Linked DNA regions of Drosophila melanogaster. The gene in region 3 interacts genetically with the main gene of each other region. Each region holds a gene or a part of one and is shown on either strand. Other genes may lie near its edges. The genes, in order: Coop, hng2, hng1 and hng3.

What was found.
Region 1: of hng1 (region 3) and Coop, changing one enhances a phenotype caused by changing the other (phenotypic enhancement), as found in Drosophila melanogaster (one study listed by BioGRID).
Region 2: of hng1 (region 3) and hng2, changing one enhances a phenotype caused by changing the other (phenotypic enhancement), as found in Drosophila melanogaster (one study listed by BioGRID).
Region 4: of hng1 (region 3) and hng3, changing one enhances a phenotype caused by changing the other (phenotypic enhancement), as found in Drosophila melanogaster (one study listed by BioGRID).

Annotation. Positions count from the first base shown.
Region 1 is NT_033778.4:7,490,048-7,494,618, reverse strand, and holds Coop (corepressor of pangolin), read left to right. Parts: upstream 1-2,029; 5' UTR 2,030-2,429; coding exon 2,430-2,673; intron 2,674-2,737; coding exon 2,738-3,570; 3' UTR 3,571-3,783; downstream 3,784-4,571. Other genes in the region: CG1620 (uncharacterized protein), read left to right, coding at 1-250.
Region 2 is NT_033777.3:8,804,389-8,808,413, reverse strand, and holds hng2 (hinge2), read right to left. Parts: upstream 2,093-4,025; 5' UTR 2,049-2,092; coding exon 1,835-2,048; intron 1,782-1,834; coding exon 1,231-1,781; 3' UTR 833-1,230; downstream 1-832. Other genes in the region: CG9839 (uncharacterized protein), read left to right, coding at 2,916-3,222, 3,288-4,025; CCT7 (chaperonin containing TCP1 subunit 7), read right to left, coding at 2,395-2,621.
Region 3 is NT_033778.4:21,166,970-21,170,810, reverse strand, and holds hng1 (hinge1), read right to left. Parts: upstream 1,882-3,841; 5' UTR 1,815-1,881; coding exon 867-1,814; 3' UTR 801-866; downstream 1-800. Other genes in the region: LSm1 (uncharacterized protein), read left to right, coding at 217-271, 326-510, 573-746; Isha (insulator su(Hw) mRNA adaptor), read left to right, coding at 2,350-2,379, 2,628-3,215, 3,367-3,639, 3,769-3,841.
Region 4 is NT_037436.4:737,014-741,377, forward strand, and holds hng3 (hinge3), read right to left. Parts: upstream 2,337-4,364; 5' UTR 2,108-2,336; coding exon 1,975-2,107; intron 1,720-1,974; coding exon 851-1,719; 3' UTR 667-850; downstream 1-666.

The DNA.
Region 1 (4,571 bases), about 14 Mb from region 3:
CGCTAACAGTAATGGTAGCTGCTCACCGCATAGCAGCAATGGTCACAGCAATGGGGATTTGTCTGCCCTGGAGAAGGATACCATCGCCAGTCCTCGAAAACCCGCCTCTAAGAGCTATTCTATTATGACCGGGAGTCAGGCGGTAGGTAATCCTTCCGGGGGGAACCGAAAGCGATGCTCATCCGCATCTCTGCCCCTGGAGGACGAGGACAACAACGTCGAGGAAGAACCCAGCCTGTCCACAGTGTAAACGACATCTCTATCACAATCACCATCATCATTATCATAACCGAGCGCAGGCGCTTTCGATTCGGTTGGGCCAGGCGATGTATTTGCAGGGCGCTTCATTACCATTACCACTCACTATAAATATGCATACTGTACGTGTAGTATATACCATATGTCTAAACATATATATTCCAGATTCTTAAATCGACATCTCTCATAACCCGTAAAGAATTTCTCTATTGTTAAGTGTGCGATTCGTCTATTTGTTACATGTGCGTGTGGATTCCGGAACCAAGTACTTATCGCTTATATATACAATATATTTTCGCTCAATCCTTGAGTTTCGTTGAATGTCAATAAATGTAATATGTATATCTGTAAAGTCAATTCTATTGTTTTGTCGATATTTGACCAAATGTTTTAAAACCTCCAATAATTTAATGAATTTCAATTCTCAATTTACGAAAGTAATGTATGATCAGAAAAGATAAATATATATGTACATCGAAAGCTTTGTAGACTCACAGGTAAGATTCGCTACAAATCAGATACTAATATTACATAAAAGTACATCTTAGATATCTTAGATGAGCATGATTTATTTTATTTGGTTCAAAACAAAGTATGCATCATATTATTAATTTATTCGGCCTAGTATTTTCCCCTTTAAAAGCCTTTGTTTACATATAGAAGAAACAATATTTAAACGAAAATTAACCAAATTTTATCAAATATGCATTAGTTTAATCGCTACTTAAAAGACAAGCTGACGGATTTCAAATAACCATCTTAACGAAAGATCAATCGTACTCCGTATTCCCTAAAAGTTAACCGGATCGGAAACAAAGAACCGGTCCGTATAAATATACATACATATCTCGTATACATAGATACTTAGGTATGTCTGTATCTTTTCCCCAGTTTTCTTTGCAAGGCGTTCTTGAAAATGGCCAATTACGGTGTTGGATTCCCATTTATTGGCCGCATGTCTGTCCACGTACATTGTGCATACGAATGTGTGTGTGTGTTTTTCGCACTGTGGGTAGAAAGACGAGTATAAATTGCGGCGAGGATCAAATGTCAGGCTGAAACCCAACCGCAAAGCTACAGAAGATCTGATAAATAACCCCGGTCGCCACTTGTCATGTCTGCTTCACTTGCATTTTCGCAGTCCCAAGAAGAGGAGACTCAACCCGAAACGTGCAAGCATACACGTATAAACATTAATATGTACGTGTGTACACATATACAGACAACGGATACAGTCTTCGGTTCCAGGCTCACGATCGTTCCAGCTGGAGCTTTTGTTCCCACACACCCTCGTCTGTATATAGAAATGTACATATGTATGTGCGCTGTGGCGGTGGCTCCACTGGCGTGGCGTGAATTTTGTACGTTCCCTCCAGCTCCATTTCCAAGCGACCCAGCCAGCCGACCGTAGTAAAATCCAGTTTTGATAAAAATAAACAAAGTACACTACACCGCTCTCTATACGCTACACTATGAATTTCCAGTCTCTGCGGCTGGGTCACCTGGAAAAGGATCTCCTTTCGCGTAACGGGAGGGTGGGCCATAGAGCTCTATGTAAAGACTTTTACCGCTAAAGCGCGTGACATGTCCGCTCAAGTCGCTGTACGGGTGGAATTCTATTGCAATAGCCGTTTTCGGTGCAGAGCATATTAGATTCGTTACGGTGGGCTCACAATGGCGAAGTTAACAACCGTAAAAAGCGCAAATACGACACAGAGTTGCGGCCAGCGCAGCGGAAGCTTAACATCCGGATAATATTGCCAGGCAGCTCAGTTGTTGTTCTGCCGCCTCGCCTGCGCCTGCTTCTTCTTCTTCTGCTTCTCCTGCTTCTTCTTCCTCTTCTTGGGTCTTCTGTTCGTGGCAAAGCCTGTTGCTCAAGCCTCTCTCCTCCTTCCCGATCCCGCAGCTCCGCCTTCGCCTTTGCCTGTGCCGTCGCAACCAGCTCCGTCCGCTCTTTCCACAATTCTCTCTCGGCACCGCCAAAAGGCACGTAAACTGGTTGTTGCTGGCTGGGCCGTACACTTCGTGGTGCCCGTATTTTTCGTATTTTCAGTGCTGCCTGAACGCTTGAGCTGCGCGAGTCGCTTGCCGGGAAACTCGGAGTTGGAATCGGAACTGGATCTGGCTAACTAGCTATCGGGCTATCGGAAATTGGCCACTCGGATCTGGACATGGAGATGGCCTACAATGCGTCATCGTCGGCGGCCTCCGTCGGCTCTGCTTCTGCCGCCGCCTCTGCCACCGCCTCCTTCGCCTTCACCAACACCGCCAAGCTGCCCATCGAAACGGTGAAGCGCCTGATTGCCGCCGTCTCACGACGTCCGATGTTGTGGCTGCGCAACAATGCCAATGGCCAGAAGCGCAGCGACATCACGCCTGTTTGGTTCGAGGTGGGTCAGGATGTGAATTTGCCAGGTGAGTGTATGGCTGACTATTTCTCCTCTGCGCTTTCCGCTAAAATGACTCCCCCCTTTCACAGCCGACATCTGCCGAATTAAGTGGGGCCACCTGAGGGACAACTTTCGCAAGGTGTACATCCGCAATAACCTGTCCAATGAGACGCCCTCGTCGTGGCGCTTCTACAACGATATGCGGTTCATGGAGCCCGCCGTTCACGAGAATATCATGCGTCAGACGCGAAGCAGCAGCAAGAAGCACCCACCCGGACACTGGACGGAGAACAATAATGTGCTGGGGCCGGACAAGTATGACTCAATGCCCATTGTTGCTACGGAGCCCATATGCGAGCTCAGCCACAGCTATGACTCGGAGCTACACCAGCCCAGCTTCTCGGACATCAGTTCGTTCTTCGAGGATCGCGACTGCCAGCCGCCGGAGAATAAGAGATTTAAGTCGGAGCCCAGTCAGAGGGAGGAGGACGAGGAGGATGACGATGACTTCGACGAAGATGCCGCCTCGGAGAACTTGGAAGAGGAACGCGGCAATCGTGCCGATGCTGCCAGTTCCGGTGTATTCACCATAGAAGTGCTCGATGACGACGACGAAATGGAGCAGGCGGTGACCAAGACCAAGGCGAATAACACTAGCCACGGCGGATCCAGCCTGAAGAGCGAGCAGGAGGCCAAGGTGTTCTCCAATTCGCAGTCACCCACCGCCGATCTGCCATTCAAGTATATCAGCACGGATGTGGCCACGAATACGGATCCCTCTGGTGGAGATCTCCAGGACGAGGCGGATCGCATGTTCCTGCTCAGTCTGATGCCCTTCCTGCAAAGATTGGACAGCCGCCGGCGTCTGCGCGTGCGCCAGAAATTACAGAACGTGCTCATCGAGGAACTGGAGTTTGGCTGAGGACGCGTATATCCGGGGGAATGTGGGGAGATTTACTTTATAAGCCTAGCTTACAGTATTATAAGAACGCGACTGACTAACTCTGTGAATCTGCCTACATACGTAGCATGTAATCAGTATTCCGGCCTGCTTTCCTTCATACCAACACACTTCAATACATACCATATTGCATTACAATACATATTTACACTTCAAATAGACGATCACGCCAGCATGATTACTTGTTTCTTCCTCAGGATAACCGCTCACTTTTACCTGTATCTGCGCTCCGGTGCACCTGCGCCTTTTACCTGCGCACCCCGCCCGCAGTTCGAGTTCCCAATTATCCACGGTCACTGTTGCAATTGCATTTTTCCAGCCACGGGCGGCTCAAAATTTCTGTCAGTGCAAAACAAGTTCTTTAAGGGTGGTGCACGCGGCAACAACAACAACCACAAGGTGATTCCCTCCGCATTTTCGCGCCACATGCGCCGTTAATGCTAATGTACCGCGCTCTCGCTCGCTCTCTCCGCTCACCAATCACAATGCGCTCCGGATGGGCGAAACTTGGTCGAGCCTAGGCAACTTGATAATTCCCTTTTGGTGTGTTGTGTTTTTTGCCTGAAAACATCTCCCCATGTTTTAAAAATGATTCAAAGCTTTCGTTGAATAATGGCGGGCTTAACAGTTCTGCGATTTGCTTAATAGGGTCCAATTGGATGGAGTTTAACTTTCAAAAACTTTCGCTAAACAGAAAGCTCATCTTCTAATGAGTAGAGTCTGAAATTTAGACGCAGAATCCATAAAAATTCTTAGTGGTTCATGCATTGTTGTTAAAATGTTGAATGCTGTTTTGTCTTTTCGGAACTCATTTGGAATTCCAAAATTTAAGGTGAAACACTATTTAATTTTAATTTAAAATTCCTTTTAATTTCAGCAGTATGATTCCCCTCTGATTTGTAATCACAAAAATGTTCATGGCCATTCATTGACCATCATTTATACTTATTATAATCATTTAT
Region 2 (4,025 bases), on a different chromosome or scaffold from region 3:
GTCCCGAACGCGGGCAGAAATTTCCGAAACCCGAAACAACCACTAACAAAAACCATATGCAGTTAAGTGGGAAATGGAATGGGGCGATCCCGAGGAGAACGGCATCATCAGGACGTTACGAGTACCATTTGTCGGGTGAATTGTGGGGGCGGGTATTCGGGGTAACGATATCGTCGTACCCCCCATAGATGGTACTCAGGGAATTCCCAGCAGTGTGGAACGCTTGAAAGCCGACACCGCATCCAAATCTCTGTGTTACCCCTATGGGTTCCTTAACGGTTTTCAGCGATTTCTTTTTAGGGGTGTCGTCTGGAGTGTCGACTTATAAATACGCTCGTACAATCCATAAATGTGCCTTTGTGTTGAACAAAAACCATGAAGAAATCGGTATACATAATGAAAACTCGATTGGCATAAGAGGTACAAGCTGTATGAATACAGGTTTCAACTCTTTTTTGTATCAACATCAGCCGAAACTGGTCAAACGGCTTTGGAACATGGGCCATCCGATGGCTTATGTATCGTTTTGACAGTTTATGTTTATACTAAAATTTCGCTGCAGGCGATAAATATGTATTGAGACAGCATCCGGCCCAAGAAAGTAGTGGCTAGGGGGATGAATAACAGAACATGGGATTTATGTAAAAATATCAATTACACATGTGGACAATTTGCTTGCATACATAGTTAATATACATATGAGCATATATATTCATATGAAATTCCATACAAATCCATGTTGTATGAAATTGATATTGAAACCCACGTATAAAAATATATTGCCGTCGTTAGATAATTTATGGTTTAAAACAAAATAAAATGCATATTTTTTATACATTATTTAATGTTGTTTTTAATGTTTTTTTCATTGTCTTAAATAACTCTACAACTATTGTATTATTATCAAAAATTACAAAAGTAAGCGTATAATATATACATTGCGCAAAACACAGAAGTTACTATGAGAAAACTATTTGACGCATTATTAAGAACTAAAAAAAATAATTGAATCATTGGTTGCATTAAAGTTTAACCCCTGGTTTGTGAATATTATTGTTTGTATATTAAATTACAAATTACAGTTCATTATTTAAATTTCGCGCCCTAAAGATTAGACGATTTACGATAACGATTAAATGTATTCTTATTGCTTATGTTAACTTGCTGTTAAACGAATTTTGCCCTTCTTGTAAATGCATTTGTAAATGATTTGACTTCTGTAGTGAATATTCAATTCGGCTTGAAGTTTCGTAGGATTTTCAGGACCTCGATCTGAAAGTCAAGCTTGCGATCGGCGCACATCTGCTGCATGTGAGGCTTAATGGTGTCGAAGAAGGCCTGATCAGGATCGGCGGACAAGTAGGCGGTATTTGTACTGCAGGGTGGATCTGATGGTAACTGTGGAATATATGCGATTTCCGGAGTGGCGGTGTCCTCCTTGGCGCAGCCCAGATCTCCCAGAACCGTATTTATGTTGCTTGGTATGGCTGGATTGCGGATGGCAGGCTCAATATTCGATTCTTGGTCGGAGTTTCTCTTTCGTGGAGTCTTTGCAGATCTCTGTGCGGCAGTGCTCACTCGCTTCCGTTTGGCCTGGGGCTTGGGTTGCTCCTTCAAGGATTCTACATCGTCCTCCGACTCTGCTTTCACGTTCAGCAGGAAACTCAGTTCCTTTTCGTAGATGTAGGAAGCTCTGGCCACCTCCTCGCCACTTTGACGTAGTCGGTTGACCCGTAGGTAGCTGTCCCTCGTGTTTTTCCAACGTTTGAGCAGTGTTTTAACTGGAATTGGAAGTTATGTATGATATAGACTCAAAAAGGTAGCCACCACCTACCTATTTCCTGCTTCTCCGGCTCGCTGGAGTCGTCAAAATTCGAGCAAAGCTCGTGGCCAATTTGCTGCCAGGCCTCATCTCTGAGTTCGCGGTTATGGAAGTTTGGGTGGCTTCGTTCCCATATAATAGAACGTTTGTGTACCGCGTCAATGAACTCGTACATCGAATAGCGCAAATTGCTTCCTGCCGATCGAAGAACTTTATGATTGCCCATTATTTATTGTTTATTTAAGGGTTGGATTGGATTGACAATATGTTGCTTGCGTTTAACAGCACCACGGGCAGCTGCTTAACAGCACTCCCCGCAGAGTTGCCACCTCGCCCCGCATTTAAACTAAAAACGTTCTGATGTTATGAAAATACAAATTTCAATTTTGTGTTTTATTATTAAACATATACAGATAGGTCAGTGGATTATTGTTGCTGTTGTTCTTGCTTCGAAGCGTGCGAAATGCGAAGGTATGACCGAGTAATACGTGTACGTGTTAAATTAGGAGAGAAATGCAAGTGAGTTTTGATGATTAGGGTGTAGTGTTCTCTGGATTTCTGAATGATTCTATTTACATGGGCCTGCCCATTCCGCGGCCCATTCCCATGCCACCGCCGGCCATCGGGGGTTCTCCGGCCTTGGGACTCTTTATTGTCTCATCGACGGAAAGGATCATGCAGGCTGCCTCGGCGGCCGCCGTCAGTGCATTGATCTTAATGATGGACGGCTCCCAGACGCACTGCTCATAGTTGTCCGAAATGTCTTCCTTGTTGATGTCGACGCCGTACCACTGTCCTCCTGTAAAAAGGTAAATGTATAAAATTATAATAATTATTAATTAGAGTTCAAAATTACACGACCGATTTGAATTCGCCAACGATTTTTGCAGGTAACATTTCGTTCAGGTGGCAACGCCGCTTACAGCCCGCGCAATAAACGAATTGAGAAGGTGCGAAAGAGCACAACATACAGCACATGTGACTCGAGTGAGAGAGGACGAGTGACAGTGAGGTCGAAGAAAAACACGCGTTGCTGCGGCTAAAATTTCCTCTGTATTTACATTATTTGGAAGAGAAAACGCAGCCAAACGAAATGTCCAGCTCCGGAAGAAAGCGCAAGCAGCAACTTAAGCCGCGTCAGGACGATCACCGGTCGCCGGTGAAGCGACGCAGTGTGGACATCAAGTCGGAACCCTTGGACGGCTATCCGGCGCTAGCAGACTACGATTTAAGTACGGCCGATATCAAGCCGGATCTCACTGAACTCCAATTGCAGCTGGTGGCGGAGCAGCAGGCGGCCAGCAACACCATTCGCTTGGAATTGGAACAGCAAGAGAGTGATTCCGACGAGGATGGCTACTCAGAGCTCGATTACCAAGCTGAAGATGTCTTCTGTCAGGGTAAGAAGGGTGCTCCTCCCGTCATTTCAAGACCCCACTTATAAAATTATCCTTTTTAAACCCAGACGATATGGATGACTACGATCCAGATTGGTCCAGCCAGCAGACGGGTTCCCGACTGCTCTTCAAATTTCCCATCCAGCAGAGTGGCCTGAAATTCGGACAACGCTTCCAGGGACCACAGCACTACTTCAACCAAGTGCTGGGAAATCGCTCCAAGTTCTTCAGTTCCCTGGCCCAAAGCTGCAACCTAAAGGGAGGAGAGCTCAAGTCCAATCCCACAACTGCCGAAGAAATGGAAATCTTTATGGCGCTTTCCCTGCTTATGTGTGACCTGAAGCTGGAGCACCTATCGGATTACTGGAGCACTAACATGTTTTACGGTCTCGTCGGATTCTCTGGGAAGATTCCTCTGGAACGGTATCAGCAGCTGCTGCACTGCCTTAACTTTGATGCACCGCAGCTACAAGCGGGCAGAGCCAAAGTGAAGAACTCTCTACTGCTAGACTTTATCAACGAGCGTATGGAAGAGATATACATTTGTGGCCAGCAACTGGTGCTCAATGAACCTATCACTCTGTGGAAGGGTGCATTAAGATACCAGGATGAACTTCCAAACAAATTCCGCACCAACGCACTACTGCTGCATATGCTAACTGAGCAGAGCGGTTTGGTGGTGAAGATTCTACCGGAGATTGTGCGGAAGGAAGACGCACCGGCATGGGTACGCAATTCCCGGCAGTTGGTGGAGCACCGAAACAAGATTGTCCTGAAACTAATGGAGGGTTACCATGGAGGACGCA
Region 3 (3,841 bases):
TCTATGCATTTTAAAACTAAAAACATCAATTTCAGTAAGCAATATCTTATAAGTTTCGTTGAACAGTGTAGTAATATTTTTAGTATTTTTTTCTAGAGCATTGTGGTTTTTTAAACCCTTCAGCGAGGGTTACATTAATATTAAATACTAAAATTTAGACCAAAGTTTAGTTGCTTCAGTTTATTTATTTATCTAAATCCCACATATTTTCATAGCATGGACGACTTAAATCCGCTGGCGGGCACGGCTCACCTCCTGGAAGAGGTTGACAGTGAGTAAATCCGAATGAAAGGAAGGCCAGTCGTTGAAAACCGGCGCATTGCAGAGAAACTGATGGTACTTTTGAGAGACGGACGGACTCTGATTGGATACCTGCGGTCCGTGGACCAGTTCGCCAACCTGGTGCTGCAACGCACCATCGAGCGGATACATGTGGGCAACGAATACGGCGACATTCCTCGCGGAGTCTTCATCATTCGCGGGGAGAATGTGGTGCTACTGGGCGAAATAGTAAGCTTTACTCGATACTTTTTCAATATGACTGATTAACACCCTTTAAATATGCGTAAAAGGACCGTGAAAAGGAGCAGAAACTGCCACTCAAAGAGATATCCGTCGATGAAATCCTGGACGCCCAGCGTAGGGAACAGGAGCAGCGGCAGGAGAAACACCGCCTAGTATCCAAGGCACTAAAGGAACGAGGCCTGGCCGTAGATGCCAACATAATCAACGAGGACTTCTGCTAAGACTCCATTTTTTCCTAAGCACAAAGTTAGATTAAGCTCAAAAGATTTTCGTCTCTTTGTATATTTGTACTGCATTAAAAAACTATGTTAAAACCTATGTACATATTGCATGCAACCTGCTTAGCCTGATCCGCCCGCACCCGACCCCTTTCCGCACTCCTCGAGCAGTATGTACTTCTCTAGAATCTGGTACATCTCCACCTTGGCCTTGATCTTGTGCACGCGCGACAGTTGGCGCAAATACGCGGCAATCGACTTGCAAAAGAAGTCGTCCTCTGTTTCGCAAGTCTTTTGGGTGATGACGGCCGTGGGATTGGGTAATTCTGGGGCGGAATGCTCTCGCTCCTGATTCGCATTGGGCGGCATACAGACCAAGTAGTTCAGATCCGCGTGGTTAGACTCAATAGGCTCAGGTGCGGACGTCGCATTCGGAGCAGCGATTTCCGGATGAATTGTGACCACCTTGACCTTTTGCTCGCACTCCGCATCCCCCAGGAACTCATCGAAGCTCTCCTGTTCGGGCTCCTGCCCATCGTCCGCCTCCACGACCACCGAATACGTCTCCGATTGTGTGGTATGAGACTCCAGCTTAGCGTCGTAGTCGTGTTGCTCCTCGCCCTCATCGTAGGCGTGCGAACCTTGCTCCTCGATCAAGGTCTCTGTGTCAATAGGCAGGCGGGTACGACGCCGTCGCTGTAAATCAACCTTCATCCACCCGGTTGGCTTTTGTTCCCGATCCCGTTCGCGTCCTCTGCGCTCGCGTCTCTTGCGCACAAAGTCCCGCAGGAAGTCCATCTTCCGAAAGAAGTCATTGTGACCAAACTCGCCGGACGGATGCAGGCGCTTCTGCTTAAGCTCCCGCGAATAGCGATCCCGCAGACACGTCCACCGTCGCCGAGCGTCTGAGATGGAGATGTTTAGCAAATCCGCCACTTTTGCCCAGTCCTCCTCTTTGCGCTGCGACAGCCGAAAGGAGGGCAGCTGGGGATCGTACAGCGACGGCGTCTCGCGGATGGTTTGTATTAGGAGGATATCCGAATCGTCCAGAGGACGGTGGTTTGAGCTCATTTTAATTTGTTTAATATATGTTTAATATTGACCAGTGTTGCCAGATGTATTGTCATCGACACAATGCTAAAAAGATCGACACCGCCGATAGCGATTATTTTTAAAAGGTAGTACATTTAAGAAGATTTGATTTCATTTAAATTTATTTAAGGTCATTTTTATTTTGTTGTCATTATTTTTTTATATGAAACTTTTGGATTCCATAATGAAAATTCTATTTCGTTTTATTTTTTATAAATATTTGGAAAATTTTTTAATACCGAAACGTTATGCACCACATACGGTCACACTGCCATTAACAGCACAATTTCCAGAAATGCCTTGAAAATGTCAACTTTACAGGTCTGGCAACGCTTCAGGCTTTAGGGCAGCCATTTTTTTCACGCTTTGTAAAAAGTTTTTTTAAAAGCCGTGGAAACCGCAGAAAGGTCGAGAAAATTGTTTTTCGCCAGTTTTAAACGATTGTGTTGACCAACCAAAGTATGCAAAACTAAATATTGTGTGTGCGTGCCGTGAGTGAACCAAGCAATTGAACATGGAAACCGTGGTTGCCTTCAACAATGAGGTAAGCTATAGATGCATTAGAAACGAGGTTCGTTATGGAGCAGCCGGCGTGGTTGCACAATGTCCGCTTGAAGTCGGTATTCGGATTGTCCAATGTGCGGGAGGTATACAGATCCTGCTGGAGGCGCAGGCAGAGCACCGAACAGCACCGCTCAGGGTTGCTTTTTGGCCAGCACCCGATAACGATAACTCCATGTCCCAGATATCCGTAAACTATAGCCGTACTGTAACATCTATATTTCTCCTTAGCTCTCCGGACTCTATGACAGCCGACCGCCCATTTCCAAAGCGAAGATGGCCGCCATCACCAAGTCGGCGATGCGGGCCATCAAGCTGTATAAGCACGTCGTCCAGAGTGTGGAGAAGTTCATCTTGAAGTGCAAGCCGGAGTACAAAGTACCCGGGCTGTATGTAATCGACTCGATAGTGCGCCAGTCGCGCCACCAGTACGGTATGGACAAGGATCTGTTCGCGCCCCGATTCCAGCGTAATCTCACGGAGACCTTTGCCAACTTGTTCCGGTGCGCTCCGGAGGACAAGAGTCGCATCATCCGGGTACTGAACCTGTGGCAGAAAAACAACGTCTTCAAGTCCGAGGTCATTCAGCCGATCTTCGACCTGGCCGACCCAAACCACCCAATCTACCACCAGATGCCTCCGGTGGGTGGCAGTGGAGGACAGGGCGGCGGCGTGGGTCCAGGACCCAGCAGCAGCGGTGCTCTTAGCCTGGCGGACATATCGAGCGGTCCGAACGGTCTAAACAGCTCCGGAATGGAGATAAGCATGAACAGCTCCGGGGGCGACGATAAGATGGGCGGTGCCATGCCCGACTTGTCGGTAAGTGATGCTTTCGGTTGAGGCTTCTACAGGTGTCTAGTATTGGATAATGGCTTAACTAACATCGTCTACAATTCTGCTGCATTTACATTTCTCTGTCTCTCATGTCTTGCCCACTAACCGCCCATTTTGCCCTTCGCCCAATCGCTAGCTGGGCCATGAGAAGTTCGGCGGTGGCAGCAGCAGCTCCAAGCGTCACTACTCGGAGCAACACTATTCCAAACGACAGTCGGTGGTCTCGTGCTCGTCGAAGACCAGCAAGTCGCATCATCACAAACGGGAATATGTCAAGAGCTCGCACGACATTGACTACCAGGTGCGGGAGATCATCGAGGAAGAAGATGAAGGCCTGCAGATGCTGATGGCAGATGATCACCACTGTATGGGCGACGACTCACCGCCCACTTCTTCAAACCTGTTAGACGTATGGCGAACCCCATTAACACATCTCTTCATTTAGATAGTTTTGTTTATCTTAAGTTTCTATTTGTTGCTTTTGTTGCTCACATTAGATCGATCCCATTTTGAATAACCTTTTAAATAACTCTTTCAGGAGAAGAAGATCAAGCAGCTGCTAAACAATCCGAATGTGCTGCGGCAGCTCCATACGCTGCAGAACTTCCAAA
Region 4 (4,364 bases), on a different chromosome or scaffold from region 3:
GCATGGCATTCCGGATGGATACTGGGCGACACCCAATTGAAACTTCAAGAGCAGTTATCGTATGTGAATACCATCACATCGCTGTATTTAATAATTTACAACATCTTTATAAGAACGTCGATAGGCAGCTGACTCATCAATTTATTATTCACCGCTTCTAGCATCTGAAGAATCTCTTTCAACTTCTGCATCTTGGCCTCCTCATCCTGGATTGTCATGGCGCTCATAACCGGATTTATTACCATTTGCTTTATAAACCCGGATGGATAATTCTGGTCGATGTTTAGTTTGGATGACGCTGACAAAATCTTCTTGGCCATTTTTTGATAATGTTTGCCTTGGATTGGAAAGCACACAAAACTGAATTAGCTGTACTTATTTTGGTAGCTCCACGCCAACTTCGAATGTATTCTTACTTAATCGTCAAGATTATTGGTCGCTTTGACTTCATTTAACAAATGTCGTTCCAATAGTGTGGCATTAAAAAAACAGCCAACTTAGAAGAAAAATAACAAAGAGTTTTCAGCCCTGGTAATCAATAAAGGATTAGATTTAAATTTAGCCTTTTTAGCTTCTAAGTTAAATTCCGGCAGCCCTGGTAATAGTTTGCAGTTTGTTAAACATGTTTAAGTTTGCTAAACATCAAGCAAATAAGACCCTCAATTTGAAGACTTAAAATTATATATAGCTTTTATTATGTGCAATGATAAAATTCAAAAGTAATCTCAGCCAAATCGAACCACTGTGCACTGAACCTGCGCACAGTGGTGCTCGCGCTCTTGTCCAGTTCGCACACTTAACATTAAGGGGGGCATTGTATATCTTATTTTGCTCGGCTGCAATCCTCGATTCAGTTCCAATTCGTGGAGCTTGTGCTCACTTGCGCCTGATCCAAGGCCATTTGCTGTTGGTTCAACAACATTTGCGAGGGCTGCTGCTGCTGCTGTCGTTGCTCAGGTTGCTGTTGCAGTTGCAGTTGCAGTTGCTGCTGTTGCTGCGGTTGCTGCTGCACCGGCGGCTGTTGCATTGTCTGCAGCAGTAGCTCCCCCATCTTGGCCCTGAAGAAGACATTCTGGAAGGGCGTCATTTGCTTCATCAGCGGCAGAAAGCTGATCAGGTAGTTGTAGTCGGAGTCGCCCACATGGAGGACACTCTTGCACCTGGCCAGATCCTGGCTGGTGGACTGCATCAGCTGCTGCTCCTCGCGTTCCAGACTCTCCAGGAAGTTGACCTGTTCGTCCACCCTCTTCGCGCAATGGCAACTGCTGGCTGCTGCGGCAGCAATGGCACTTCCCTGATTCAAATTCGGACTCAATTGGTCGGCAGTGGAAGGCACCTGCTCCTCCGCCGCCGCACTGGCCAGGGAGATGTTCTCGGAGAGCCTTCGCAACGCCTGGGGAGTGGACACGTTCTGGAATTCGCGCATCAGCGCATCGTTGTCCGCCTCCATTTCATCCGCAGCTGAGACTTGCTCGCTCTTAAAGGTCGACAACATGGGCATATGCTCGGCTTCAATCTTGAGTGCACTCTCCATCTCCTCCTCCCCGTTGTTGCTGTTATCACATTCCTCCCTTTGGCCGTCCAGGAAGCTCATGGCCTCCGCATATGACCACTGGTGACCCGGCGAGGGCGACTGCTGATGCTTCAAGATCCCACTACGCCGGTTACTTCGGCGATAACTACAACGCAGATTTTTCCATTTGGTTCGGCAAAGCTCAACTGAAATGTCAGAGCGTGGTATACGCGATTAAGAAAAGAGAATGTAAACAAAGCACTCATTACAAAGTACACCGAAAAAAGTTTAATACTAATGTAATAATTAATTTGAAAAAACCATAAAATACTAAAAAATAATACTAGTACTTCGCATTAACAATTTTCTAATTAATCTAAAATTATCATAATTTTAATTAGTTCCAATTGGATTTTTGTGTTGACCCGAATATTGATCCCGATTTCGCTCAGTGCACTCACCATCCATTCCGGTGGCCTCCGCGACGGCGTTCCAGAGGCGCTGGGTCTCCGGTCGGTTGGCGTGGTCCGGATGCCTCGCGTCCCAGAGAGCCCGGCGCTGCTGCACCTCGAAGATCAGCCTGTGCATGTCCATGTTGCAGCGTCTTTATTGGCGAACTGAGCAAAATGCGGTGCTAAACTTCCCTGGCGCAGAGAGCAGAGAGCGCTTTCTCTCAAAATAGCCCCATAAGTTTTGGTTTCGCTCTCGACTGGAAGTCTCTCAGAGAACGCGGAGAAAGGTGCTGTGTGCTCAACGCCGTGCTTACCGTCTGTTTGCTGCACGTGTTTTCCGTTCGAGATTTTAAAATTTCCACACAATTTCCAATATAGGTAAAAGTTGGATAATAAAAATATAGTTCCTTATTTACCATTCAATTTCTATTTATTTTTTATCACTTGATTGTAGGAAAGGGACTCGTTACCCGATTTTTGCTATTTAAAGAGCATTTGGAAAGTGCATACACCCATCAATTATAAAATCTCTCTGGAACGTTTTTCACTCGCCTTTTGCAATATACACACATATTATTTGCGTTTTATTCTCGCGTGTTGTTATGGCTGATGTTGCTGTTGTTGTTGCCGCTGCTGCTTGGCCAGATATTCAACTTGCGCTCGCACAGTGGGCCGAAATGCGTGAAAACCCTTGCTATATGGCGCACATGTGCTGGCCATGATGATAGGCCCGCCAAGTATCTTCCCACCGGGGGAAGTTCCAAATATTTGCACAGCCGGACGCTCGACGGTTGGACGGTTGCAACATGTTGCCATCGCCGTAGCCCAAAAAGGCAGCCGGCCAAAAGCCGAGAGCAACACATGTTGCTGCAGCTAAGTCGGCGACAACAAGTGGACGTGGAAAATATGCGACAGCAATTATCTCCGTCTATATCCATATAGCATATATAGCACATGGAGCAGCATATCCATATGCTGTCCCCTGGTCGGATTTGCGCACGACTTTCGCTTGCCATTCCAGGCCATTGTTGCTGCTGCTGCTATGCTGTTATGTTTGTCTCATGTTGCTGTTGTCATCAGTTGCAGCTGCTGTCAATCTGTTGGCCGCTCGCTTTCAAAAGGCAAAACATCGAAAATTTCCATGTGTCATTTCAAAAATGCAAATATGGACATGATCTGGTGCCCTGGCTCTCCTCCGATCCCCAGCTCGACCTCCGATCCCCGACGTGGCTGCTCCTGCAAAGTCTTCCACATGTCCGTCTCGTCAGGCGATCAAGCCCCAACTGACAGCCAAGTGACGTCTAAATTTTGTTCAACGAAATGATTATAAAGGCATTTATGCATGCGTAGTCACCAGCCAGAATGGAGAATGGAAAACAATGATCGAGCCTAGCCACTAAGGAATCTTAATACCAAAGGCACTCGCAGAAAGAATGGCTTCGAATGTTGCAAATGCTGTTGCAAATGCAGTTGCAAGCACCACACAAAAGTTACCTTTTGCTTAAGTAGTAATGAAGTGGCTTATCAGAGGTATCGAACATTTGAGATATTCTGTGAGAAGCAAGAATTTTTTCTAACTGTATCCTACCATATGCACGAGAATGTTGCTGCTGCTGCAATTGATTTGTTGCTGCCCAATGTCGTCGACGGACTCTGTCAATTGTCAATGTTTGTATTCAAATTTCCAAACGTAGTTTCCAAGATTTTTATGGGCCGGCCCAAGGCGATTTATGAAGGCTTTGTTCGATGATTCCTAGGGGATCTTATCGATGGTAGAGCCAAGTCTTGAGATGGCGGGTATGGTTATTAAATATAGGCAAATAAATAAAAAACTATCTCAAGCGATTATGTACTAACTTAGATTCTAACGCCCCATAAATGGCAATTGCAATTGCTGTTGACGGCGTTTAACGCTGCCCATAAAATGTGGCCGTCGTCTTGGAATTGCAGTTGTTGTTGCTGTGGTGCCGCTGATTGTTATAACAAATTTGCATAATTATGCCGCTTATCTCGGCCATATGTCTGGGTTCGGCTGGCTTGAAAACTGGTAGACTGGCAGACTGGCAGACTGGCAGACTGACTACTGCTGGTTTCACGTCTGCAACACGCGCCGCAAATCGACAGCAGCAACATCGCAAAAGCAACTGCGACTGCGACTGCAACTGCAACTCCCACATGCAACATTTGCTTTTGGCCATTGTTGTGGAAAATGCGGCATGTTGCTGCCGTGTTAATTGCAACTGCAACAACATAATAAATAACCAACTGCCAGAGAGCGGCAGAAAAACAGTTAGTTGACATTGACGCACTGCGAATCATAAAAACGGACAACAAATTGATTGCCAATCAACAACATGAACACGACAGCAGCACTAGCAACCTGCAACTCCGCAATTGCA